Oryza sativa Japonica Group: one gene and its partners. The protein of the gene in region 6 binds, or shares a complex with, the protein of the main gene of each other region. Links are inferred from orthologs where the notes say so. Each region holds a gene or a part of one and is shown on either strand. Other genes may lie near its edges. The genes, in order: heterogeneous nuclear ribonucleoprotein 1, U1 small nuclear ribonucleoprotein 70 kDa, serine/arginine-rich splicing factor SR45a, serine/arginine-rich SC35-like splicing factor SCL28, SNW/SKI-interacting protein A-like and suppressor of mec-8 and unc-52 protein homolog 2.

Region 1 (3,752 bases), on a different chromosome or scaffold from region 6:
GCATCCAACCTGTACAGAAAGGAAATGTACGAGGAAGGATGATTATTTTGCTTGCCAAATGCCTGGAGTATTCTACTCTATGGTTTCTACCTGTATTTCATTCATCAAGTAGTATCACAGACTTCTCTGTATCTATACTACCTTAGAAATTGGCGCTACCAACTTGCTGCTAATATGCTCTTATTGCTTCAGGTAGGGGCTAATTGTTTGCCTCTACTATGCTTGTTTATCCATCTACATACCAAATATCAGAAACATACTCATAGCTCGACCACATACTTTAATGATATATCATTCCAATGACATGAAAAGCACTTGCACTACACCTGAACTTACTGCTAGAAGCAGCTACAGTATAAAACACCTCTATCACTGCATAGAAGTTTGAGGATTGTCATCTGTTACAATCAATATTAATGGAATAATACGCAACAGCACCTTAACTGCAAGGTGAGCTAGAGCACACCACAGAGAAACAACCAAAGATAGAACATTTCAGATTCAGGTAAAGCACAATCCAGCATAAATACTACTGTCAACCACAAACATATGATTCTGTAGAATAAAGGTACAACTAGATAGTTTGTTGTCCATAAGTAGTGAAGCTACTCTAGCTTTAAACTAGAGACGAAGCAACTGAAATTCCACTCATGACAAAGCACACCGACAGATAAGGCTAAACTTAAATAAAGCATTACGCAAGATACAGCTACTCCATAGTATAGCTAGAAGCTAGTTATTGACTACATTCTAGTAGTAAGCCGCAAAAGGTTCAAGCATTCCAACCCGGAGAAATACTGATTTAACCAGCAAATGGGAGATCTTCAAGAGGCCAAAAGCAATCAGAGGGGCCAGGGTAACACAACATACATAGACTGCCCAATTTTGCTGGTTCATCTCATAGATGCTCTAATGGCCTCATTTACTGAGCAACCCTAGGTTGCACACCACCATAACCACTGCCATAATTTGATTGGCCTTCAGACACTCCATTGACTGAAGCCCCAAACCCTCCACCTTGTGAAGGATCAGCCCAAGCATTTGGATAACCAGAACCGCCATTCCCGCTTCCATAGCCAGCACCATACCCAGATCCACCGCCAGCAGCTGGATTGCCAGCACCATCTCCCCTTCCTCCATAACCCCCATATCCACCATGATTACCATACGATGCATCTCCTCCATATCCACCATATCCATAGCCCTGGCTCCCATAGCCTGTGCCTGCACCAGCGGCCTGACTAGTGGGTGCATTACCTCCAGCAGAAGAGTTGTTCCAAGCAGCATAGCCTGCATTGCCACCATAACTCCCAGTGCCATAACCAGACGGAGCTTGACCACCCCATGGTCCTCTGTTTGCTCCTGGAGGACCACCCTGGTAACCTGAACCAGGCGCATTTGGATTGCCATAATGCCCACCATACCCAGCAGGAACACCTCCAAATCCTCCAGCCCCATAATTCCCATACGCAGTTCCAGGGTTAGCATGCCCATATCCATAACCAACCGTACCAGCACCATATCCTCCAGCACCATAACCGGGATAACCACCACTACCCTGCTGCGCCTGACCATACCTGCTAGCGTCACCTCTGCTATCATAGCCCCCAGAATTGGAGTTCGGCCCATTGTTACTCTGGTAACCCCCACCGCCGCCTCCCATGGAACGGCCACCACTGCCGGAGCCAGGGTTGGCCTCCCTGGGCAGGGCGCGCTTCACCTCCACCATCTTCCCGCTCAGGTCATGGAAGGTCTTGTGCAGCACGCGGTCAACGGCGTCCTCCGCGTCGAAGGTGATGAACCCGAACCCCCTCGGCCGCTGCGTGTTCTGGTCGTACATGACGACGACGTCGGTGACGACCCCGTAGGTCTGGAAGTACTGCCGGAACTCGTCCTCCGTCAGGTTGGAGGGCAGCCCGCCGACGAAGATCTTCTTCGTCCGCGCACCGCCGGCGTCACCACCGCCGCCACCACCACCACCACCGGCGCCTCCCCCACCACCGCCCCCACCGGAGGCGTGCCTCCCCCCCGCGCTAGGGTTCGCCGCCTTCGCGGCCTGCTGCTCCTCCCGCGAGAGCGCCCGCTTCACATCAACCTACGAAACCGAACCGAACCGAACCTTGAGAGGAGGGAATCCAACGCGAATATTCGCTAGGGTTTGAGAGGGGATACCGTGCGGCCGTCGAGGGTGTGGGGGTCGACGAGGGCGGCGTCGACGGAGGAAGGGTCGGAGAAGACGACGAAGCCGAAGCCGCGGGGGCGGCCGGTGAGCTTGTCGCGCATGACGGCGGCCTGGGAGACGTCGCCGTAGGCGGCGAAGTGGTCGCGGAGCTTCTCCTCGGTGGTCTCCCACGAGATGCCGCCGATGAACAGCTTCCCCTGATCCGACTCCATCTCCTCCCTCCGCCGCTGCTCTCACCTTCTCTCCTTCCTCTCGCTCGCGCGCCTCGGATTCTCTCGCGACGCGAGGAGGAGGAGGAGGCGGGGGTGGAATTTGGGGGATTTCGGCGTCGGGGAGGGGAGGTGGGGGGCGGAGATTTGGAGGGTTTGGGGATATTTTAGGGCGCGTCGTGTGGGGGGTGGGGACGTGGGGGAGACGGGTTATTTTTGTTCTTCTCTGTGGGCTTCTTTTTTGGGGTTTTTTTTTTTTGTTCTTTCTATGGGCCGAATTTGGTGCGAGCTTGTAGGAACTCGAATTTTTTTTATTTTTAATTTTTTTTATTAAAAGTTTTACAAAAAATAATTTTTCATTTTGAAAATTGACAGAAGTGGTCGCCTACCGCCCTCTGGGAGGGCGATTTTTAAAAATCGCCATCCCAGAGGGCGGCGAAAGTGACGTGGCAGACGGCCGTTCGCTCTCGGGCGACGGCCGTCAACGAAATTTGTAGGCGGCCCCCTTGCCGCCCTCCGCTAGGGCGATTTTGTACTGTGCGGGGGGCCGCCTGCAAATGGGCGGCGGGGGGCCTGGAATTTTGCAGGCGGCCCCCTTGCCGCCCTGGGGGAGGGCGAATTTATACTGTGCTTTATATTTTTTATAAATATCAATAGTTATCAAATCTTTTTATATTGAAAACTATACAAGATTAAAATCTCCAAGACTGGTAAAATACAATTTTATTATTTTTTAGGGCCTATTTGGAATGTTACCGTACAAATATTTTGTTAGTGCCAAAATATAAGCAAGTTTTGGCACTACCAAATATTTGGTAAGGTAAAATTGCATTTGATCATATTTGGTTTGCTGCCAAAATGTAAAATTGTAGTGAAGAATGTTCTACATAATCTCAAATCTAGATTACGTATTACCAATGAATAGGCTTCAATCGAAATCAAACACAAGTACTATTCAAATTACCAAAATATTGGTAGGGCATGTTTTTGGTAGCAATCCAAATAGGCCCTTAGTCTTACGCATACAAAAAATCACCACCATAATTAAACATTGTAATGATAAGATAGATAAGAAGTGCCATCGATACACGGTACAAATTTGTCGATCCCGACGAATCAAGCATGCGGTAACCTATCGGCACCTTCTAGGTCGGTCAGAATGCATTGCATTCTCGTGGTCCTTCAATCGTTGATACTCTACTTGTGTTTCTGACTATGTTATCTTCTGGCCATGATATGATGGAGTGACATTGTCGATCCATCGAGTAAATCCACCCATCCTTGGATTGCCCTGTAAAAATAGTAATGTTATTCAGTTTGGGTAGTAATTTTGTGCAAATCATAGCGGATTTTGTAAATGG
Region 2 (4,236 bases), on a different chromosome or scaffold from region 6:
TAACAGCTCAGGGAAAGTAACATAAACACTGTACTCACCAGCAACCTAATAAATCCCAGAATGTAGAAACCCCATGCCTGCAGATAAGCTGCTTTTAAAAGCATAAAGTGATCTAAGCTTACTTGTGCCATCGCCAACATTCTTCAAGCTTGTTTGCTCCAGTTAATACACACGAGAAGCAAGTTCATAGAATGGGAAAACAAATGATACATTGTGCCTACTGCAGAAGCAAATGGTTTGATCTTTTCCGAGAGTAAAAGGGAAAAGATGTTCTAAGAAAAAAAAACATCAAGGCTGCATGCAGTAAAAATACCTGCTTGTGTGTATTTGTATTTCCCAGGATTTTTTAGTCTTCTAATGGTTGTACCAACCATTCGCACATTAAATTGCTCAACAGTAACTCAGATAATATGTCTAACAAAAATTACCAGAAGACATAATTTCTGCTGGAGCTCTATATTACTTATCCACTAAGTACATCAACAGAGCCCACATGTTTAGAAATGGATAACAAAGAAAAGACTGTCCGAACCACCCAAACCAATACATGTCAATACAAGATAAAAGTGTTATTTAAATAATTTGAGAAGATTATTTGGTTATTTTCTCCTTGGTTTAGCAAAATGCAACCAACATCATTATTGAGAAGCAAACAGCAAATGCATGCTTACACACAAAACAGTGAATGTATTGCCCAACTTGAAAATGAGAGTGCTATGAATACTGTTTGACAAAAACAAGAAGTTATTTTTGTTTGCTGCAAAAAAAAAGACTTGACAGAATAACTTATTTTTGTTCTTTACAAAAAAGAAGACTTCACAGCATTTTGTTTGATTTAGAAACAAATACTACAGACAATTCTGCCCATTGAAAATCGGAGAGAGATAGAAGATATCCCTTTCATCCTTTAGCACCTTGTTGTGAAATTCCAAGTAAGCAATATATAATGGCAGTGAACCAGCTTTTTCTTAAAACATGTTTTTGTAGATGAATTAGAACAACCAAACACCTTACCAAAGAGGAATAAGTCCACCTGCACTGGAATTTACCACATGTACTTACCCTTTTAATAGGCCCATAAGCTTCAAACTCCCGCTTGACCCTATGCTCAGACGTCTCATAGTTCTGTAAACGTTTGCTGGAGTCAATAGGAAGTAACATACAAAAATAATACCAACTATGTAGTTCAAAATAATTTGTGAATGATGCAACAAAAAAACTTACAAGTCTTGCAACAAAGAGTGTTTTGTATGGATCTCCAGTGGCATTGGGGTCACTCTGTGGGTCATCTACATTAAGAAACCACACCAATGATGTTATCAGTATCTATCATATGATACAAAGGGAAGAGCAGCTAAGAAAGAACTTACATTTCTGAAGCTCTTCAGCCACCTTAGCCGCACCTTGGTCAAGCTTACTTTTGCGGATCCTATCCTTCTTTTCAGCCTGCGTAAATAAAACATAATCACCAAGTCATGACCTGGAATGATGAAATGACAATAGGCACGAATAATACAGTAGATCTAGAAACAATAACAGACATGGAAAAAAAAAGAGTAAAGCCAGTAGTGCCAACAAAAAGCTGCGTATTTGACATAGTCACATACAATTACCAGAAGAAGAATTTTGGCAAACAAATGTTTGGACAGCTACACATGTCTTATTTTGAGAGAGTTTTCATGTGGTGAAAGTGGAAATATTCATCTCAGAGGTGGGAACATTTGACTCCAACTCTTACCTCGCAATTTCAGGTAGAACTTATTGGACCTAATTTTCCTGTGCTGACTATAGTGGAACAATGCTCAAACAGTCAAATTGTGAGTGACTTTCCAGCAGGTGTAGTCATAGAAGCTCACATACTAATACTAACAGTCTTAAGAAATCCTGATTGTTCAGAGACCAGCAAGCGTTCTGACACCATTACAAATAATTGATTTTGTCGATTGAAAAAAGCAACTATATGGTTGTGGAAACTATGCAATATGGTTATGGCCACACGAAAAGTATACCATTGGCATAAATACGACATGGTCACGACAACATAAGAAGTAGGAACATCTTGCACTACGGAGACATAAAACAAAATGCAACACTAACGATTGCGCTTCAAACGAGTTAAAATTGATACAGAAAACAAATTTGCAGCAGTATCAGTATACCTTGGTCTCGCATGTGGGGACGGGTGGCGCGTACTCAGGGTCACCGGGCTCCGCAAACTGCGACACGAACTGCGCCATCCCTGCAACCAACCAATCAACAACAAGAGTGAGTCCATCCATCAGGAAGCAACTCATCCACAAAATAAATCTAACAGACAAAATTAAAAGAAAAAAATATATTCATAATCCCCCTAGAACCGAACAGATAGAATAGAAGATGAGGCGGGTGAGGGAATATACCAGTGTAGGCCGGCAACTTGCGCTTCTCGACGGGCGGCTTGAAGTCGAGCGGCGGGCGGGGCTCGAAGAGCTTGAGCAGGTTGGGGGTGAGGCCCGTCGGGTGTCCCTGCCCCATCTGTGGTCGCGAGCCATGGAGAGAGATCTCAGATCGAGGCGGATCCGGAGAGGAGCTAGGGTTATAGCAGCTAGGGTTTAGGGGGGGGGTGGGGGCTTACCAGCTTGAGCTGCTGCACGTTGACGCGCTGGCCCTTGGTGCGGGACTGCATCCCGCCGCCGTCCGGGTTCCCCCGCATCATCCCGCTGCCGTAGTCGCCCATGGCCGCGGCGCCGGCGGTGGCGGCGGCGGCGCGAGGAGAGAGAGAGAGAGAGAAGCGAGAGGGATTTGCGATTCGCGAAGCGTTGGGGGATCTCTCTTTCTCTCTCTCGGGATATTAGGGGAGGAGAGAGAGAAGTAAAAAGAGGGGGAAGCCGAGACGGAAGAATTTTATGTGGGGCCCACACGTCAGCGCCCTCTCGCACGGGCCCATGCGTCGGTGACTTAGTGTATGCTTTTGCTGCCTGAGCGTTGCAGGGATCTTTGCTGCCGCTATTGAATCACGGGGGCTATAATCGTGTGTCACATTTTTTATAAATAGTAAAATGCCCGTGCTAACGCTACGGCGATATTTGATGATGCAAATCCCTTCTCTACTATTATAAAAATTGAAGATGTTTTCGTTAGAATTTTGGTACATCATCTGTATTGGAATAGGTTTTAATTTTATGTTTCTATTAAATCATACGCGTACGAAGTAATTAGGCATGCACCTTTTTACGTGCCCCTTGCCGCTTGCAGACCTGCGCCTGAGTTCATTTTCCACATACGCCTCTGTGCTCCTCTGCGATTGGGCCCGCAACACCCTCACGCGTGATTTTTCGCATGCCTGATTGGGCCCGTGACGTCCTCTTAAATCTACCCTATTAGCATATAAGCACTTTAAGGGAAAAAAAACGAGATTCCCACTTGATTTAATCTTTGGTAAAAAAAATACAAATTCCTACTTGATTTGATCTTATCAGGCCTTTATTTACCTGCATGATATCATCAGGCTTCCATTTACCTATATCTTCTTCAAGTTTATTGGACAACCTGATTGCAATTAAACGGCATATATTTTAGTTGTGGTAATTAAGAATTAACATTTAGTTACCAAACGTCCATCATTGATATTATTTGGATGCAAATCGACGCACATACCTCATGAGCACATGGGAATGAGGATATGAAGAGGAGCGCTGCTATAGACCTAGGGATGAAATGCTCCAATAACAAATGGTATAAGCACAGCAGAGCCATAATATATAGAACTGGCCATCGTTCCATTTTACTGCCTAACGATAGGTTGAAGGCTAGCAAGCCAAGGAAGGCTATATACCTCTCAGTTCTGACAACTACCTTTTCATGAACTCGTGGGCTTTTTTAAGCTAAACCTCAGAAGACAATAGGGAAAGCCTGTTTTTCATCTAAGAATAAAAGACTTGGCCTATTATTTTAGAAAAATTGGACCAAAAAACTCACAAACACTTGCCCATGAACCTGTCGGCTAAATATTGTAGTGTAAACTTATCTGCTGCAAGCAGCTTTGGAGTAAATCTACCCTATCCTAAACCTTTCTTACATGCATATTGTTAGTTTGTACCAAGCACAAGAAAATAAATCACTCACTTTAAAACCATCTCAAAATTACATATATGCCCACTTTCATCCATTAAAGGCATAGCTGCAACTTATAAATCTGAACTGTACATATATGTGTCAACCATGAGTTTACAATCGAAAGGGGAAAGAATGGAAAAA
Region 3 (4,180 bases), on a different chromosome or scaffold from region 6:
TACAGACATACACTTAGGCATAGAGAGCTTTATTGATCTCTAGAACATCAAGCTTCAATTCATTCTGAGCGCTCCCTGGAGACAGACCTTGAGTAGGAACTGCGGCTGTGAGAGTAGCTCTCCCTAGAATGCCTCTTACCCGACGACCTGCTGCGCGACGGTTTCCTTTCACTGTATCTTTTCCTTGGAGAATAGCTCCCTGACCTCTGAGAATCCGGGGAACAGCTATGGGAGTAGCTCCTCTGAGGTGATACACTGCGAGAATAGCTCCGTCCTCTAGCACTTGGAGAATAGCACCTTCTATAGTATGGTGAAACAGAATGGTCATAGGAACATGACCTCTCTCTTCTGTAACGGTATGGAGATCTTGAACGGTAGCGGGAACCACGGTAAGATGAGTATGACCGACGCCGTGAACCACGTGTGTCATAGGGAGAGTATGATCGCCGTCTACCATAAGGAGAAGGGGATCTGCCATACGGAGAGTAGGACTGTCTCCTTTCATGTGGAGAGTAGGATCTACGCCTCTCATAGGGGGAGTATGATCTTCGCCTGTTGTATGGAGAATATGATCGCCTTCTACCATAAGGAGAATAAGACCGTTCTCGCTCAGGTGAGTAGCGTGAACTGTAGCGGTCTCTTTCAACAGGCGAGTAGCTTGGGGAATACCTCCGTGCTGGTGTCACTGTATAATAAAAAATATTCAGCAATCAGTTGTATTATATCAGGAAAGGCTAGCAATGCTTCCTATTTTCCAGAGAAATGAGACCAAACCATCCAGACACAGCAGCAGTTAAATCAAACTTACCACATGATGATTTTGTGCCTAGATACCTTCCGGGCGTTGGTGTTCGACCACGTCTTCTCTTGGCCTGTGGAAAGGATTCAAATAAGCCTTTTCGCCATATTAGCATTAAAGAGTGATGCAACAAATTGGGAATCTGAACGACATGATTAATATGGAGACTATATAATGTAGGGCATACAACCCTTTGGTTGAGGTAGCATGTTTGGCTGTTAGGTTGTAAATCTTTTGAATTTGACGTAGAGCAGCAACGGACATCTACCCTGCTGCTGTCAACAAAAGCTTCAAACGGAAGAGCACTCAAATATTCAGCTCAGCAAGCTAAATGAGCATATAAATTTCACTCCAAGTAGAAGTGAAGAAATTCAGTAAATATATTGTGATTATACCTTCTCTACAGTTATCACACGACCTTCCAACACTGAGCGGTCTAGATATTTGATGCAAAGATCAGCCTCCTTAACAGTAGCCATGGTAACAAATCCAAATCCCCGGGATTCCCTTGTCCATGGATCAAGTACTATGCTAGCATCAATAACCTGTAATACGGTGAGCTTAAAAAGTTGTACACTATTTTGGTATCCCTTTGCAGATACTCTATAAAGGTTACCTCTCCCTCAGCAGAAAAGTGTTTCTCCAGATCTCGATCTGTCACACGAGCAGATAAGCCAGTAACATACAGGTTGTTCCCAGGGTTTTCAACATCACTTGAGTCCACACTTCTAAAGACATCAAAAGGATATCACATACTCATCAGAATTACAGTAGGCAAAAATGTTCACCCTCGAATATAGAGTGAAGGCAGAAACATACTAAGCGCTAAGATAAATACCATACCTAGAACGACTCCTATACCTTGAACGGCTGCTCCGTCTGGGCGATGTAGAATATGAGTCGGACTCATATCTATCAGTAGGAGCCAATCAATAATCACAAGACAGGGCTTCAAAAAATGTGGAAAAAAATTAAGTTTGGTAATGCGTACCTTGATCCTCTGGAGTACGACATCTGCAAGATAGACATATGATTGCATCAATATCCACTAGAGAAACAAATATATACAAAAACATGAGATGCCACTTGAAAATGTAATTATAACAAACAGTGGGTTCATAGCCTTTTGAAGTTGTAACTGATTAATTTATGACACCTTGGTGACAATATGCCAATCAGTAAGATATTTTGCAAAACAAAATTATTATCTTCAGAATGAAGAGATGACCCAGAGTATATACCTAGCGCACGCCAAAAATAATCCACAAACCAACATAACGAAATGAACAAGAAACTGCAAGACAGGAGATTCTTTGTTTATTTTCAGCATGGTAATCATGAACTATAACTTATGCAATTGCGCTCAGCAATTGAAGCTTCCAACCATACAGTCCCTAAGATAAATCGACTTCCTAACACTGTCCCTAAGTTTCCTCCGAGGCATGTAGGGGCACTATGCAAGTTTCGAACTTTCGACAGTTGCGTTTCAAACTACATATACAATGGACAAAAAATGATTATGCCACAAGTTGTACAACAATTTGTTCCCTTCATTTCTTCATTTCGTGCCCCTCTAGAAACCCATGTACTAGCAATCTATACCTCTTCTTTTGCAAAGCAAATACACGCAAATCAGATCATTTTAACAAATGAGCCGCTATCCAAGATGGGGAACTCCTGCCGCAACGCTTCGAACTACAGCTAGGATTTATCTTTATATAGATTAAGAATAACAAAAATAAATAAATATAAACGGATGTTTTTATACAGATCAGAGGGGCAAACCATCGCCATACTGGAACAGAGAACGAACGGATTCACCGTCTTTAGCAGAGATAAAACATGAGGAGAATCAGAGGCAGCAATAATACCTTCCTTCGTCGCGACGATCCGTGCCCTAGCCGAGAGCGTCTCTCTGTGCCGGCCTCTCTTGTTCTCAGTCACGGCGCTGCCTTTCTGCGCGTCGGAGCGCGTGCGGTTGGGAGAATAAATGGAAGTGTGGAATGGGGAAGGTTCTGGACGGAGGCGGACGCGAAAGTTTCTCAAATCTGGTTGATGAATCGGTTGCGCGCACGAACTCCGCCTTCCTCTTCACGCCTTCACACATGGCGCTTCTTGGAGCCATTGGTTTTTCTTTCGGTTTGCAGTAAATAAAAGTTTCCCTTCAGGGTTTGGTTTACTTTCCAACTTTTTCTTCAAACTTCCAATTTTTTCATTACATCAAAAATTTTTACAAATATAAACTTTTAATTTTTTTTCTTTAAACTTTCAGTTTTAACCAAACTTCTAATTTTAGTGTAGAACTAAACACACAGCCTAGACCTCTTTTGGTCCTATAGAAAATTAGAGCATTTTAATTATAATGATAATTCTAACGAGTTTTTTTTAAACAAATAATTCAATCCTATACTCCCCTGTAAAATTTCTATAAAATGGACACCCCCAACAGAGATTTTAATGAAAATATAAGAGTTACAATCCTTATGTGTCTTACAATTGTATTGTTCATCTATGTTACAAATATTAGGGCATGTTTAGTTCGCGGAATGAAATTTTTTGGGTGTCACGTCGGACGTTTGACCGGATGTCGAAAGGGGTTTTCGGACATGAATGAAAAAACTAATTTCATAACTCGCTTGGAAATCGCGAGACGAATCTTTTGAGTCTAATTAATCCACCATTAGCACATGTGGGTTACTGTAGCACTTATGGCTAATCATGGACTAATTAGACTCAAAAGATTCATCTCACGATTTCCCCCCTAACTGTGTAATTAGTTTTTCTTTTAATCTACATTTAATGCTCCATACATGTGTCCAAATATTCGATTTGATATTTTTGGAACTAAACGGGGCCTAAGGGTGTGTTTGGTTCTTCCCTTTCCCAACTTCAAATCTTTGTTTTATGTGCGCACGCTTTCCGAACTGTTAAATGGTGTGTCCTTTTACAAATGAAAAATTCTATGTGTGAACCTCAACATAGGAAAATAATAATAATAAAAAGAATGGTTGATTGATTTTGCTTTAGCTGTTCTATTTGTCAGAGTAATTATCGAGTTATGAAATGCTATCTCCATCCAAATCGCACCCCCATTGGTTGGCTTATTCTTGGAATAAGCCAAACGACACATTTACAAACAATAAGTAATTTGTGAATAAAGCATTTATATACGTGTTCTTAGCGACCTAAAAGTAAATGCTGAAAAATAAACTTCAATAAAAAACTCTAAAACTAGCTTCAAATTTAAGGTTGAAAATTCAAATTTTAGCTGATAAGCATAAGCATAAGAGAAAAGATGAAGCCGCATATGGCGTATCCAATTAAACTACAAAACATATTGCTAGGTTTAATGCAAGTAGGACATGATATAAAGTAGAATAA
Region 4 (4,143 bases), on a different chromosome or scaffold from region 6:
AGAGATGTTTGAAAGGAAAAAGAGTGAAACACTGACAAACAGGAGAGGACAAGCGTATTTGCTATGCTATATGTAAATACTAAAATATTGAGATGATACCTGTAGTCACGTCTAGCTGGAGAGGGTGAAGGTGAATAAGCTGACAGGAAATAGAGATCATTTAGTGATGAGATTAAAAATCATAAAATATTAACTCATATAACAAACATTTATACTTACAATGGTAACGAGACCTTGGAGATCTTGATACTGACCGCCTTCTGTGGCTACCATCCATGTATCTTCCACTACACAGACAGAAGCACAAAGCATTTCTTTTGTTACATCAAATTCCAGTCGCTGCTATCATATATATTCCAAATGCCTAATCTGGAAGTTGGTAAAATATAAAAAATTAAGCACCTTGTTCTTGTCCTCATCCGCATTTCTTGTGGGGTTTTTCTGTTCTCCTCGGCAAAAACTATTGAAATCTCTCGTCCACCAATAACTTGATGATTCAATTCTTGCTTGGCCACTGCAGCATCTTCTGGATAGCGGAATTTTACAAACCCAAAGCCACGTAATTCCCTACAACAATTTAACACGATCATGGAAGTGATTGTGAATCAGACAAAATCAATATACACATCAAAAGACATTCTTAAAAGAACACAGAATGTGCAACAAGCATCTATAAACCCTATTTCCAAGCAGAATACATGGTTCAGACCAACATCAAAGCACAAGCATAAGGCAGCCTGGAAACAAATGCTCTTTGAAATGTTCATAATAATGATAAAAATTACTGGGTTCAATTAACGCAATTTCTTCATGTTGTTCAAAGAATTGCTTATCTTCTGTGCAACATGATAAACGTTCCAGAATTAAGATATTGACTTAACTAGAACTCAAATGCACCAAAACAATTGTGTAAGAAACATAAGATAAGTTATTATTACCTTGTATGGAAATTTCTTGGAAGGTAGACATCCTTTACAGGGCCAAATTGCTCAAACGGAATACGAATATCTTCAGGCCTGCAAAAAACGAAAATCAAATAATATTAAACCATAATTAGTAGCTACAGTGCAAAATCATCTACATACAAAAAGAAGATACTTCAGTATGTGATTGTGGAAAGCTGTATATAAGAATGATTTACTGTGCACTGGCTACTTATGTACTACATGCTTGCAGTGTAGAAAATGTTGACTTAAAAAAAAGATCCTGAGCGTTCCAAACTATCGAGAAGGGAACCTAGAACAGTAGCATTATGTCTCCAAACTACAAGATCTGAATTATCAAAGGTTGCAACCACTGTCTATATACAAATATGAATACATCCAGAGTTCATACATTTGTTTTTGTTTTCCAGAGACATAAGCAGCATTATATGATGCAAAGTTCATAAAACAACGGTTCTGCTAACAAAGCCATATCTAAAAGAACTAGATTAATTCTAGGAACACTTAAAGGAACACAATTTAGTGCTTACAATTTAGCCTCTACCGAAATAAAACTTCATAATAGATCTGAAAAATGTTCCATCTCAATATATGCAGTTAAAATCCAACCTGACACTTGAGTTGTTAAAACCTGGTAACAAGACATTTGGGTGAAAGCTTGGATGATACAAAAAAATGCAAGAGAAATGCTAATCCACATATGTGGACATCCATGCACTGTTGTATCTGCCTGTTTGGGGGAGCTTTAGATTATGAGAAGCAGCTGTTTGGTAGCCAGCTTCTGAGAATCTGGAAAAGCTCTGAAACCCAGCTTCTCCAGCTTATGGCTTCTTAGTTCATTTTTCAGAACTACAGATTCTCAGAAGCTGTGGACTGTTTGGGGCAGCTTCTAGCAGAAGCAGCTTTTGGGAAAAGCTGCAGCTGGGACAAGCTCCCCAAACAGGGCCTAAAGTGCTAGGAAATTTTTAATGTACAATAAGAGCTATTTGAAGATGGGAATTCTGGTTTGCATGTCTAACTGATGCATGAATCTCAAGGCACTCTGTACAGATGAACATCCAATGCGCAAAACCATTAGAAAAATGCATTAGGTTACTAAGGTAGGGTATGGAATATGGAAGCTACCTATACCAACATGTTCAACCTTAGTGAATGGCTTCCAAAACATTTGTTCTCTCCTAGAGAGCAACAAGTGTGAAACAGCCCACTACCATGAGTCCAGCAAGCATTTGCTGGCATACAAACTATCAGGAAAAAAACCGTCGTATTTTCTCAACAGTTCCACATCAAAACAAACCTGCTCTGTTTTTTATTCTGAATACAGCAACAAATAAAAACACATATAAGACTGAAAAGCACAGAAGCACACAACCAAGCCTAATGCAACTACCAAACAAAACAATGTGCAGATTCACAGGGATTACACACTGAACGTATCAACCAAACCACATAGCGCTGTGCTACTAGCAATTATTCAAATTGCGGTAAGCCCTAGATCAAATGGGCAAAAAAAAAATAATAATCCAAAGAGGGCAACGGCTACGCACCTTGCGGTGAGCGAGATGTTGCGGACGAGGAGCCCGGTCGGCGCAGGCGGCCGGCCATACCCGCGGCGGGGCCCTTCGCCTCCACCTCCACCTCCACCTCCGCCGCGAGGATAGCGGTCGCGCGGGTCATCGTACCGCTTGTACCGCGGGGGGCTCCGGCTGTACCTCCGGCGCGGCTGCGGGCTGTAGCTCCGGCTCCGGCTCCGGTACCCGGCCATCGCCGCCGACTCGCCGCGACCCGGCCTAGGGTTTCTCTGAGGTTTGGATTTTTTTTTCTTTCTGTCGACGAAGGCTTGGGCGAGGAGAGGTGACGATGCAGCACGGCACGGGGCGCTTTTATCTAGGAGAACTCGAAGGCCCATGGGCCCATGGGCCAGCGGCCCATCTGACCCGCCTCCAAGCCTGGAAAAGTCTTCGTAGGCAAACCTGGCCGCGGCCACCGTGACACACTTGACACTCCTCGCGCCGCCGCCGCCGCCGCCACGATGCTGCGGCCGGTGCGTCATTCCGTGCAGCGCCTCTGCTCCACCTCCACCTCCGCCGCCGCCGCTGCTGCCGACGCCAACAACCCGCCGCCGGCCACCTTCCTGGCCGCGGCCGCCACGGCCGCGGCGAACATCCTCGGCGCGGCGCGCTACGAGTCCCGCCTCCTCTCGCTCCTCCCCGGCGACCTCCTCTTCCACCCGGCCTGCGTCCGCCTCACCCTCTCCCACCTCCTGCCTTCCCCTGACCCCTCCCTCCGCTTCCTGCGCTTCCTCTCCTCGCACCTCCCCGCCGCCCCCGACGCCGCACCGGCGGAGCCCGAGCACGAGCACGAGCACGAGCCGCCGCTCCTCCCCGGCGTGGACGGCTTCCTGATCCAGCTCTGGCCGCCCGACGCCGCCGACGCCGCCGAGGTGCTCGCCTCACGCCTCGGCATCCACCCCTCCCTCCGCGCCCTCAACTTCGCGATGCGCTCCGCCCTCCGCGCCGCGCGCCCCGACCTCGTCTTCCGCCTCTTCTCCGCGTTCTCATCCTCCCCGGACTTCCCGGGCGACGCCGCCACCGTGGCCTTCCTCGTGCGCGCCTGCTCCGCCGAGGGCCGTCCGCTCGACGGCCTCCGCCTCCTCCGCGACGGGGCTCGCCGCGGCGTCCCTCCCCAGCTTGACGCCGTTGCGGATCTCGTCGCGGCCTTCTCCGCCGCCGCCAACTTCGGCAAGGTGTCCGAGACGCTCCACCTCATGATCGCCGCGGGAAGTGTCCCAGATACGGTCATCTACCAGCGCATTATCCACGGGCTTTTCGCGCACAAGATGGGAAGCGAGGCCCTGCGAGTCTTCAACGAGATCAAGCTGCGGGGCTACAACGTCGATGCGGTCACATACACAACGGCGATCGACGGATTGTGCAAGATGGGCTGCATAGACGAAGCGCGGCAAATCTGGAATGAGATGGTGGACAAAGGAATGGAGCCTAACGAGTATGCCTACTGCTCTCTGGTGGCCTACTATTGTAAAGCTGGTGATTTCGAGATGGCTCGCAAGGTGTATGATGAAATGCTCGGGAAGGGTTTAAAGGAGAGTACAGTCAGCTGTAACATTTTGGTCACAGGGTTTTGTACCCATGGGAGGGTGGACGAAGCGCTTGGGATGTTTGAGGAAATGGTTAAAAAG
Region 5 (4,162 bases), on a different chromosome or scaffold from region 6:
ACAAGAAAACGTGCTAATGAAAACTTTCCTCTTCACTGTGTTCCTAATTTCCTATAGCTGAATCTGCATACCTGAAGAAAAACACAACACTATGGCTGAATCTACATAACTAAAGGAAAAGACAAAACAAACTGAAAGTGTGTATCTGTTCAGATTCTAATACTAAGATATATCATATCATGTATTAAGTTTATTTATTTTAGGATGGATAGTGTTTTAAAATTATGCCATGATCTTACCAGTAATAATCACAAAAGAGAAGTTATTTAATCCGAAAGTTGGTACTACAGAAACCACATCAACTGCAAGCAAAGGGAATGCTCCGGCAAAGTCTTGCAACAGAAAATGCTTACCGACAAAAAATTTTCGAAGAATTCACTATTTGCACAAAACATGAATATCCCCAAAACAACATACCGATATTGGCAATACCCAGAAATCCATCCAGCCAACAATCATGGTAGCATGAAATAATTAGAACTTGTGAAAAAACAGAACACGGAATTTATATGTATCCCGTGTCTCAGTATTTCAGCCAGATAGGCAGATACATCTTAAAGACTTGGTACAGTACCAGAAAATGTAAGGTCAGCCAGACACATCGAGACTTCATAAAGCACCACAAAATATAAGGGATATGGAATGATGATAAGTTAAGCTTACAGATCCATCCACAAATAGATAAACAACAAGCATAATCACAGGATCTAAACAGGTACACTCCTTAAGATGCCCCTTGGAAGTAGACGTTGCATTAAGACAACTCAGACATCAAGTCCTCTCATCAAGAAGTTGATATTCTCAACAGAATACCCTCCAGATAACATTTGGAATGCATGGAGAAACTTCTGAACAAAACATGCAGATCTAATACCTCAACGACCTCTTTCAAAGTTAATGCGGGACCTCCCAGATCCTCCACCCTCGTAATCATCTCTCATTGAGGATCCACCACTTGCCCTCATGGCTCCTCCGCTTCCAATCTTCTCAACAGCTTTCTTCCCCTTCTTCACTTCAGTCAAGAACTGATCAAGACCGAAGGGATCATTCTCCTCCTGTTTATCAAACTCCACAGGTCTGTCTCTCTTTCCAGACCTCTCTGAAGCACCAGAAAATCCTTTGTCTGGTTTGAACCTATCTGTCTTCATAACCTTCTCCAGTTGTTCATCTGCATCGCCATACACATCAGAATCACCGTCCTTCTTAGGCCTGTAAAGTGTGGATAGCGTTGGCTGCGCTGTGAAGAGACCCTTGGAGTAGATGTTATACTGATCATCTGTAGCAAACCCAGAGTCCATTCCTTTATCCTGGTTGAACAACCTCTGGTCATACATGACTTCCCCACCTTTAGCACCGCCAGTGCTTGCCATGCCCAGGGCAATCTTCTCACTGACATCACGATCCCTGTCTCTAGTGAGCTTACTCTTCTTGCCCATTGCAGCATCCCTGGCCTCCAGCCTCCTCTCTCTCTCCCTCTCACGTCTCCTCTCCTCACGAATCCTGTCACGCTCAATCCTTGCTTCCCTTTCTTCTCTACTCTCCCTTCGTTGCTCACGAGGCTGCTCCAAATCCATATCTTCCTCCCTGTCATCAACAGCACCTCTACCACCACCAGCAGGAACCCCTGTAGGTGCAGGTGGGGCACCAGTCCTCTCCATGCGCGCCTTCTGTGCAAGTGCCCTTAGCTCTTGCTCCTTCCTCTCCTTCTCCTTCAGCTGCAGCTCCCTCTGCACCTTGGATCGCATCTGTACTGCCTCCCTGGCCTTCTGCTCCGCCACATACAGTGCTTCAGAGAGCTTTGCAAAGTTATCATTAATTTGAACCTCCTGCAGCCCCCTTCCATCAGCTGCCAACCTCTTGTCGAGTGGTATGGTGTAACCCTTTGGATTTTTCCAATTTGAAATGCATGGTGGAATCTTCCAATCTTGCTGGTCCTTCACTGTCACTGGCCGTGGTGGCGAGTGCATCACTGGGACAGGCGGTGATCCAGAAGCGCGGGGCACTCGCTTATGCTTGAATTTCGGTGGCTCAAGAGGATCCTGAGCCATCTCTGACATCCTAATAATCCTCTCCTTGGCACCTGAATTGAAGGCTGCCGATTGCTGCGATGGCTTATACTTGATAAACTTTGACTCTGAATCATGCGTCGGCACATTCTTGGGCTGTGCGGCGGAGAGCCGAACATTGACAACCTTCTCCAAGGCAGCTTTAGTTCGTTCAGTGGTTTCTTCGATCTGTTTCTGGTACTCCTCGTCGTCCGCGGTTGCCTCGGAATCAGCCGTGGCAATCTTGGGCACGAGGTCGCTGTGCTTTGAGTAAACGATCTTAGAGGCGTTCTCACCCTGCTTCACGACGGCGTCGAAGGCGACGCTGCCCTTGGCGTCGACGGTGAGCGCGAGGATCTTCGAGCCGCCCTTCTCGTCGCGCCGGCCCATGCCGAGCGGGTACTGCGCGACGTGGATCTCCGGGAAGGCGCCGCCGTCCCCGAAGTCCTCCGGCCGCCGCGGCACGAACCCGCCACGCTTCCCGTACGGCGGCACGGGCTTGGCGGGGCCCGAAGGCTTCGCCGCCGCCGCCGCCGCGTCGGATTGCGCCGACTCCCCGCCATACCGCTCCTTGAACCACGGGTCGCTGCTGTGGTCGTAGAACGTCGACGCCGCCGCCTTGGGCGTCGGGAGGAGCTCCTTGAGGGACGCCATGGCTAGCACGGCGGCAAGCCGCGCGGGATCTAGGGCTAGGGTTCCGGCGAGTCGCTGGGTGGGGGATCGGGAATCGAAGAGGAAAAGCTAGGGTTTGGTTCGATTCGTGTAATTATTTGGGCAACGCGATAAGAGAAGCTGACCACGGTGGCCGGTGGGGTTATGGCGGCTACCGGATGGGCTAGGCCCGATAAGAATTTGGGCTGGGCCGATAAATATGCACCAAATCCTTAGCCAATCCGAAGCAAATACCATCGTGTCTGAGACTTCTAGTCCGAAACAAAATAATTCCTTGGGCTGGAAACTATTAATACTGGTGATGATGATAACTGGGTTGAATCCTGAGAGGATAGGAAAGAGGGGATTGAGAAGATACGCAAAATAAGGTGAGGTGAGCCATTAGTGTATTATTAATTGAGTATTAACTATTGTAAGTTTTAAAAATAGATTAATATGATTTTTTAAAACAACTTTTCAAAAGAATTTTTTTTTGCCAAAAACGCATCGTTTAGTAGTTTGGGAAGTGTGCGCGTAGAAAAGTAGATGTTTTCTCCTCAATCTCCCAGCAATCTCTCCTGCTCGAACGGAGCCATGCTTGTCTGCACGGGTAATGGCTACTCCCTCCGTCTCATAAAAAACCAACATAGTACTTCCTAGTACAATAAATCTGGACATACATATGTCCAGATTCGTTCTACTAGGATATGTCACATTCTATATTTTAGATTTATTTTTTTTTGGACGGAGTGAGTAACGAGTAACGAGGCTACGGTATTAACGGCTCGGAATGTTTGCCTGTTTGTTTAACGAGAATAAATGAGACTGACAAGTGGGCCCATTAATTTCGCTTGCTAACACGAGTTTAATCTGCCAATTTGGGCTCCACATGACACACATTGTCACCACCCAGCCAGGCCCACGCGCGTGGTCGGTGAAAATGCTAGGCCTACTTACTGTGCCAGCCCAAATTATCCTACTAAGTACAACGTAAGGAAGCGGGCTGGAGACCGGACGGAATGGTATACCTGCAGTACTGGGCCTTCTCAAAGGCCGTGTTACCAGCCGACAAAATTTTTGGTCCACTAGAAAATGTTACCCCAAATGTTAATGTATTATCCCAGGAAAAAGAGAAAGTGCCTATGTAATGTGTCAGTTCTATGGTTGGCTAGCGAATGAAAATCTGCCGTACTAAAATAAATAGAAAATATTTTATGGACTTGGAAAAAATGGTGGCGTGGAAGTACCCAGACAACTCGATCTAAATGGGCAGCACATACTACTCCACATGTACTACGGACACTATCAATTTGTTTGTATTTTAACAGGCCAAAATCTTCTAGAATACGAATTATGCTACAGTTAAATTGCATGGTACAGGACTACAGTTACAGGGAGTATAATTGTACCAGAAAAAGAAGAATGAAAATGAAAGTAGATCCATCCAAAGAATGCGAAACCACACC
Region 6 (4,010 bases):
CGCCTTTGCAGCCAGGGCGACACGGCGCGCAACGTGGTTGCATCGCATGACCTTGATTTGTATCTCAAGCTCGTGGCAGCCTGCACATATTAGTTAGGACCTGTGTCTACGCTAACACAGTAATTAACACAGTAATTAGCACAGCTTAGTTAGGACCTGTAGCCAATGCATTAACACGTTAGGAGTAATTAACGCACGCACCTCAGTTTGCTGTCAAACGGTGATTCTTTTTTTTTTTTACTGACAGAGAACAGGAATAGATCAACTACAGAGTGACAGTATCAGTCATTCACAGTTTCTGTAAAATGGTGATTCTTTTGTAATGACAAAACGTAACGGAAGTTAAAATGTCTTTTGACCTGTTCACATTACTGTTCTTCCATAACAGTTCATATACTGTTCTTCCAAAACGTAACGGAGTACGTCATTTGCTTAGCAGATGACTTAACGCGTACATTGTCATGGAAAATTGGACTTTCGATGTTTTTTTCTTTTCGTAGTAAAACAAAGCAAATTACGGGCTGTTCTGTTATAAAAATGGATGAGCTACATATTATCACTGTTTCAGCTCGAAAGCATGGCCATCCCGTTCTTTTTCCCTTCTGCACCGGCCAAAACGCAGAACATTACAACTGTCAGGTGTTCATGGCACTGTAATTCCTAGTACAAATACAGTTTTACCTCTCGCAGGATAAACTATAAGTGTCTAATAGCATCAGGCACGTTGCTTCTTCCCACTTGGCATATCATCATCGTAATGCCCGCCATCATGCCCTCCATCTTTGTCACCTTTCTTTCTCGCAAGTATCTTGTTGATTTTGTGGAGGTCATTCGTGAGCTTCTGGTCCTTGTTCTGCTTCCTCGTCTTCCTGCCATCCTGCATCTTCACCCCAAACTGGAATGCAGCCTTCGGCATGGCTTCCTTCTGGTCGTTGTATGTGGCCCACTCCTCTTCTGTCTCAAAGTCCCACCTGTGAAGACGGCCCTTAGCCTGCAAAGGAATCATACATTATAATGAAGCTGGAAATAGGTAGTATTAAGTTTTTTAAAATGGATAGAAAACATGAGCTCAAGAAATCCACAAAAGCAAGTTTATCTTTTTTTTTCTTTGAAACAGAGGAGAAACAGCTCCTACCCTTACCAAATTTACTCTTAAGGAAAAGCATCAGTTCAGCGACAGGAAAAGACGAAAAAAAACTAAAAACATCCACTGACGGGTTACACAACAAACTGTGCCATCCCACACATTCTATGTAACCCCTAAAACAGGCTAGGTGAAACAGGTCCATCAAGTCCACACAAGAGGCTAAAAAGCAACTTTATCTGCTATAACGAAGGGAAACGAAAAAAAAAAAAAGCATACAGAATACTACAGTACTCACTTACCCGGCCACCCATGTCCATCTTCGATAAATCATCTTCTTCATCGCTGCCTGCAATCTCATGATTATACTCCTGATAACCAGGATAGCACTCGGAGTAACTATCCGAGATAAAATTAGGATCTTTCTCCCGTGCATCTTTCTCCCTCAGCTGTTTAAGCCTTTCATCATCGCGTTTGAAAACAGAACCAAGACCTCTGTCTTTATCTGCTTGAGTCATCAACCTTGGATCCTGGGTTATATTTGGATCAGCTAGTACATCACAGTCCTGAGCGCTTTGTTGCATGTACTGTTCTGGATAAGCCATCTGTTGTTCGCCATACTGATAGCCTGACCACTCCCCTTGATATCCAGCAGCTACCATTTGAGCTTGAATAGCATCGTACGCATTCTGACATCAGAAGAGAACTTTTAGGAAATACAGGTCAAGAATAGAACAAGCTAATAAATGGCTATTTCAGTAGAAGGTTGTAAACAAACACTTCGTTTGTCTCCAACATTCGACACGCATAACTATAATTGCTCATAACACAGTGGAACCAAAGTTAAACATTAGCTGGATTACCGGTTGTGGCCAAGCTTGAGCAGGGTCAGATGGTGGGATGGGCCCATAGATAGGTTTCTCTTCAGTGAAATAGGACTGCTTCTGATGGTTATGTGGGGACTCATCCATATCTTCAGAGACAGGGCTCTGGCTCATTTCCTTGTTAGGAACAGAATAGTAAACCCCATCTCCAACAAAAATGTCATCTTCATCTGCTCTAGCAACTGGAGCAGACGGTTTCTCATTTTTGCTTAAATTATTATTTCGAGGGGGTGGCGGCGGTGGCATATCCTTTTCAAATTGATGTTTCAGAGCAGACCCATTAGTTTGGCCAGGTCTAGCTACCTCATCGTAGTCACCACTTGCTAAACTGTTCTTCCCTGCGTAACAAGAATCAAGATATCTAACTTCATCGAGCAAAGCAAGTGAAGATATGGATGAGAAAGTACATACATTGCAAATACATTAAGTGAACTAATTAATTCGTTCATAATGTAAAACAAACGTGTAACATATGGTCATAACTTAAAATACCCAAACTTAAATTATTGACGTGAGACTATAAAACAATTGAAACAAGACTCAACCATTGTGGAAAAAAGTACCAATCATACTTTTCTTTTCTTTTTTTCACAATGCAAGTATCAGCTTCCAAACAAATCATTTCAGCGTATTTCACATATTATCTTAACCAAGAACATTTTCCTAATGTCACTTAGTTTTTCAGTCAACTTCCACTGCACAAAATCCATTTTAATTTTCAAGTAACATACCTTTTGTGTCCCTCTCCTTTTTCTTTTTCTTCAAGACTTTCCCAGATGATCCAAGTCGAAGGTATGACATGATTTTAGCAATCCTATCAAGTACAGAACCATCCACACTGACAGTTACCATCTCCTGCATAAGCAAGAAGAATACTGAGGAAAATAATAAATTTCAGGAAACTTCAATGTGGCATATGATGTATTGCCATAATACCTCTGGAACAGAGCAATCAGCTTTGCTCCTGTGAAGTGTTGTCGGAATATCATTGGTAAGTCCATCCTCCTGGTTTCATTAATGAAATTAATCACTCTCCAGCTAAAACCCGTAGTTCAAATCAAAGCAGGGAATGATGAAAAAAATTATTTGCAAATAGCATAAATCAATAGTACTGGACATGCCACAATAATAGGCAATGCGAACACCTTTACTCTTATTATCAGAAAATCATTTGGAAGGTTAAATCCATTAAATGAAAACATTATGCATACAAAATATGATCTAGTGATGATTTCTGACTTGTAAGATGGATCATGGTCATAGTGAACATACTGTATATTAGTAATCATTGAAGCCATGATGCATCGCAATCACAATTTAAATGTGCATGACATAAAAATCATTGCACCAGACACATGTAACCGCAATACTATACTATAGTCTATAAGTATGATATTTGAAGAGTTCTTTCATCCTTCCTTTATTTCTTCTCTTGTTTGCATATTGTGGAGTGAAGTGAGAGTTTGAGCATGTTGATTGTACTGCATTCCAGGTGATGAGCAGAGAAACAAACAATAATACATCATGAAACATAGTCATGCATCATGTATACTATAAAAGCTGACAAAACATAAGCATGTTATCATTTACATGCTAGCACAGAATTGAAAAATTCGAAATTGAAATAGCAATAACGTTTATTTGCAACATAGCAGCATCATGTTTCGTACAGATGAATCCTGATGAGAGATGAAAATAAAATAATATATTGTAGTATCATATTATGAAGGAAAATGGCCACCACCAATTACAAAAAAAATGTAATTAACATAAGGGGGAACTTTGAAGGAGGTACCATGTTGTAAATAAATGCCATCCGACCAGGAAGAAACATTTCATTCGACTTTATGATGCTTTGTGGCTTTATGATCCATTGATAGACAGACTGCAATGAACCAAGAACTGCTTTTAGTGTCCATGTTACATTACATTACATGGTCAATAATATAAGCAGCCAACATCAATTCTATTGTAAATTAAAAGGAAACCTACCTTTGCAGCTGCAGTGCGGAATGAGACTGCTTGATCTTCTTTTGTAGACC

Evidence for each region.
Region 1: suppressor of mec-8 and unc-52 protein homolog 2 (region 6) and heterogeneous nuclear ribonucleoprotein 1 share a complex: the UniProt entries of both Arabidopsis thaliana proteins name them as parts of the spliceosome. The link is inferred for Oryza sativa Japonica Group from reciprocal best matches to the Arabidopsis thaliana genes SMU2 and AT4G14300.
Region 2: suppressor of mec-8 and unc-52 protein homolog 2 (region 6) and U1 small nuclear ribonucleoprotein 70 kDa share a complex: the UniProt entries of both Arabidopsis thaliana proteins name them as parts of the spliceosome. The link is inferred for Oryza sativa Japonica Group from reciprocal best matches to the Arabidopsis thaliana genes SMU2 and U1-70K.
Region 3: suppressor of mec-8 and unc-52 protein homolog 2 (region 6) and serine/arginine-rich splicing factor SR45a share a complex: the UniProt entries of both Arabidopsis thaliana proteins name them as parts of the spliceosome. The link is inferred for Oryza sativa Japonica Group from reciprocal best matches to the Arabidopsis thaliana genes SMU2 and SR45a.
Region 4: suppressor of mec-8 and unc-52 protein homolog 2 (region 6) and serine/arginine-rich SC35-like splicing factor SCL28 share a complex: the UniProt entries of both Arabidopsis thaliana proteins name them as parts of the spliceosome. The link is inferred for Oryza sativa Japonica Group from reciprocal best matches to the Arabidopsis thaliana genes SMU2 and SCL28.
Region 5: suppressor of mec-8 and unc-52 protein homolog 2 (region 6) and SNW/SKI-interacting protein A-like share a complex: the UniProt entries of both Arabidopsis thaliana proteins name them as parts of the spliceosome. The link is inferred for Oryza sativa Japonica Group from reciprocal best matches to the Arabidopsis thaliana genes SMU2 and SKIP.

The regions. Positions count from the first base shown.
Region 1 is NC_089044.1:18,096,319-18,100,070, reverse strand, and holds heterogeneous nuclear ribonucleoprotein 1, read right to left. Parts: upstream 2,510-3,752; 5' UTR 2,395-2,509; coding exon 2,173-2,394; intron 2,096-2,172; coding exon 923-2,095; 3' UTR 501-922; downstream 1-500. UniProt on the Arabidopsis thaliana protein: Involved with pre-mRNA processing. Forms complexes (ribonucleosomes) with at least 20 other different hnRNP and heterogeneous nuclear RNA in the nucleus.
Region 2 is NC_089044.1:1,015,679-1,019,914, forward strand, and holds the start of U1 small nuclear ribonucleoprotein 70 kDa, read right to left. Parts: upstream 2,801-4,236; 5' UTR 2,717-2,800; coding exon 2,615-2,716; intron 2,515-2,614; coding exon 2,400-2,514; intron 2,240-2,399; coding exon 2,160-2,239; intron 1,447-2,159; coding exon 1,371-1,446; intron 1,290-1,370; coding exon 1,225-1,289; intron 1,126-1,224; coding exon 1,063-1,125; intron 1-1,062. UniProt on the Arabidopsis thaliana protein: Mediates the splicing of pre-mRNA by binding to the loop I region of U1-snRNA.
Region 3 is NC_089037.1:8,817,989-8,822,168, forward strand, and holds the start of serine/arginine-rich splicing factor SR45a, read right to left. Parts: upstream 2,801-4,180; 5' UTR 2,671-2,800; intron 1,814-2,670; coding exon 1,791-1,813; intron 1,712-1,790; coding exon 1,643-1,711; intron 1,528-1,642; coding exon 1,416-1,527; intron 1,345-1,415; coding exon 1,195-1,344; intron 1,088-1,194; exon of another isoform or gene 990-1,087; intron 873-989; coding exon 809-872; intron 686-808; coding exon 60-685; 3' UTR 1-59. UniProt on the Arabidopsis thaliana protein: Probable splicing factor involved in constitutive and/or alternative splicing events. May bridge the 5' and 3' components of the spliceosome.
Region 4 is NC_089037.1:14,526,512-14,530,654, reverse strand, and holds the start of serine/arginine-rich SC35-like splicing factor SCL28, read right to left. Parts: upstream 2,801-4,143; 5' UTR 2,710-2,800; coding exon 2,492-2,709; intron 1,017-2,491; coding exon 939-1,016; intron 568-938; coding exon 403-567; intron 288-402; coding exon 220-287; intron 140-219; coding exon 100-139; intron 1-99. Other genes in the region: pentatricopeptide repeat-containing protein At5g18950, read left to right, coding at 2,977-4,143. UniProt on the Arabidopsis thaliana protein: Involved in intron recognition and spliceosome assembly. Probably active at the 5' splice sites.
Region 5 is NC_089036.1:32,490,198-32,494,359, forward strand, and holds SNW/SKI-interacting protein A-like, read right to left. Parts: upstream 2,801-4,162; 5' UTR 2,700-2,800; coding exon 876-2,699; 3' UTR 444-875; downstream 1-443. UniProt on the Arabidopsis thaliana protein: Splicing factor involved in post-transcriptional regulation of circadian clock and flowering time genes. Associates with the pre-mRNA of PRR7, PRR9, ELF3 and GI, and is necessary for the regulation of their alternative splicing and mRNA maturation.
Region 6 is NC_089045.1:2,156,834-2,160,843, forward strand, and holds the end of suppressor of mec-8 and unc-52 protein homolog 2, read right to left. Parts: intron 4,010-4,010; coding exon 3,961-4,009; intron 3,854-3,960; coding exon 3,764-3,853; intron 2,974-3,763; coding exon 2,905-2,973; intron 2,824-2,904; coding exon 2,700-2,823; intron 2,307-2,699; coding exon 1,948-2,306; intron 1,774-1,947; coding exon 1,387-1,773; intron 992-1,386; coding exon 716-991; 3' UTR 501-715; downstream 1-500. Other genes in the region: phospholipase A(1) DAD1, chloroplastic, read left to right, coding at 1-93. UniProt on the Arabidopsis thaliana protein: Auxiliary spliceosomal protein involved in splicing of specific pre-mRNAs that affect multiple aspects of development.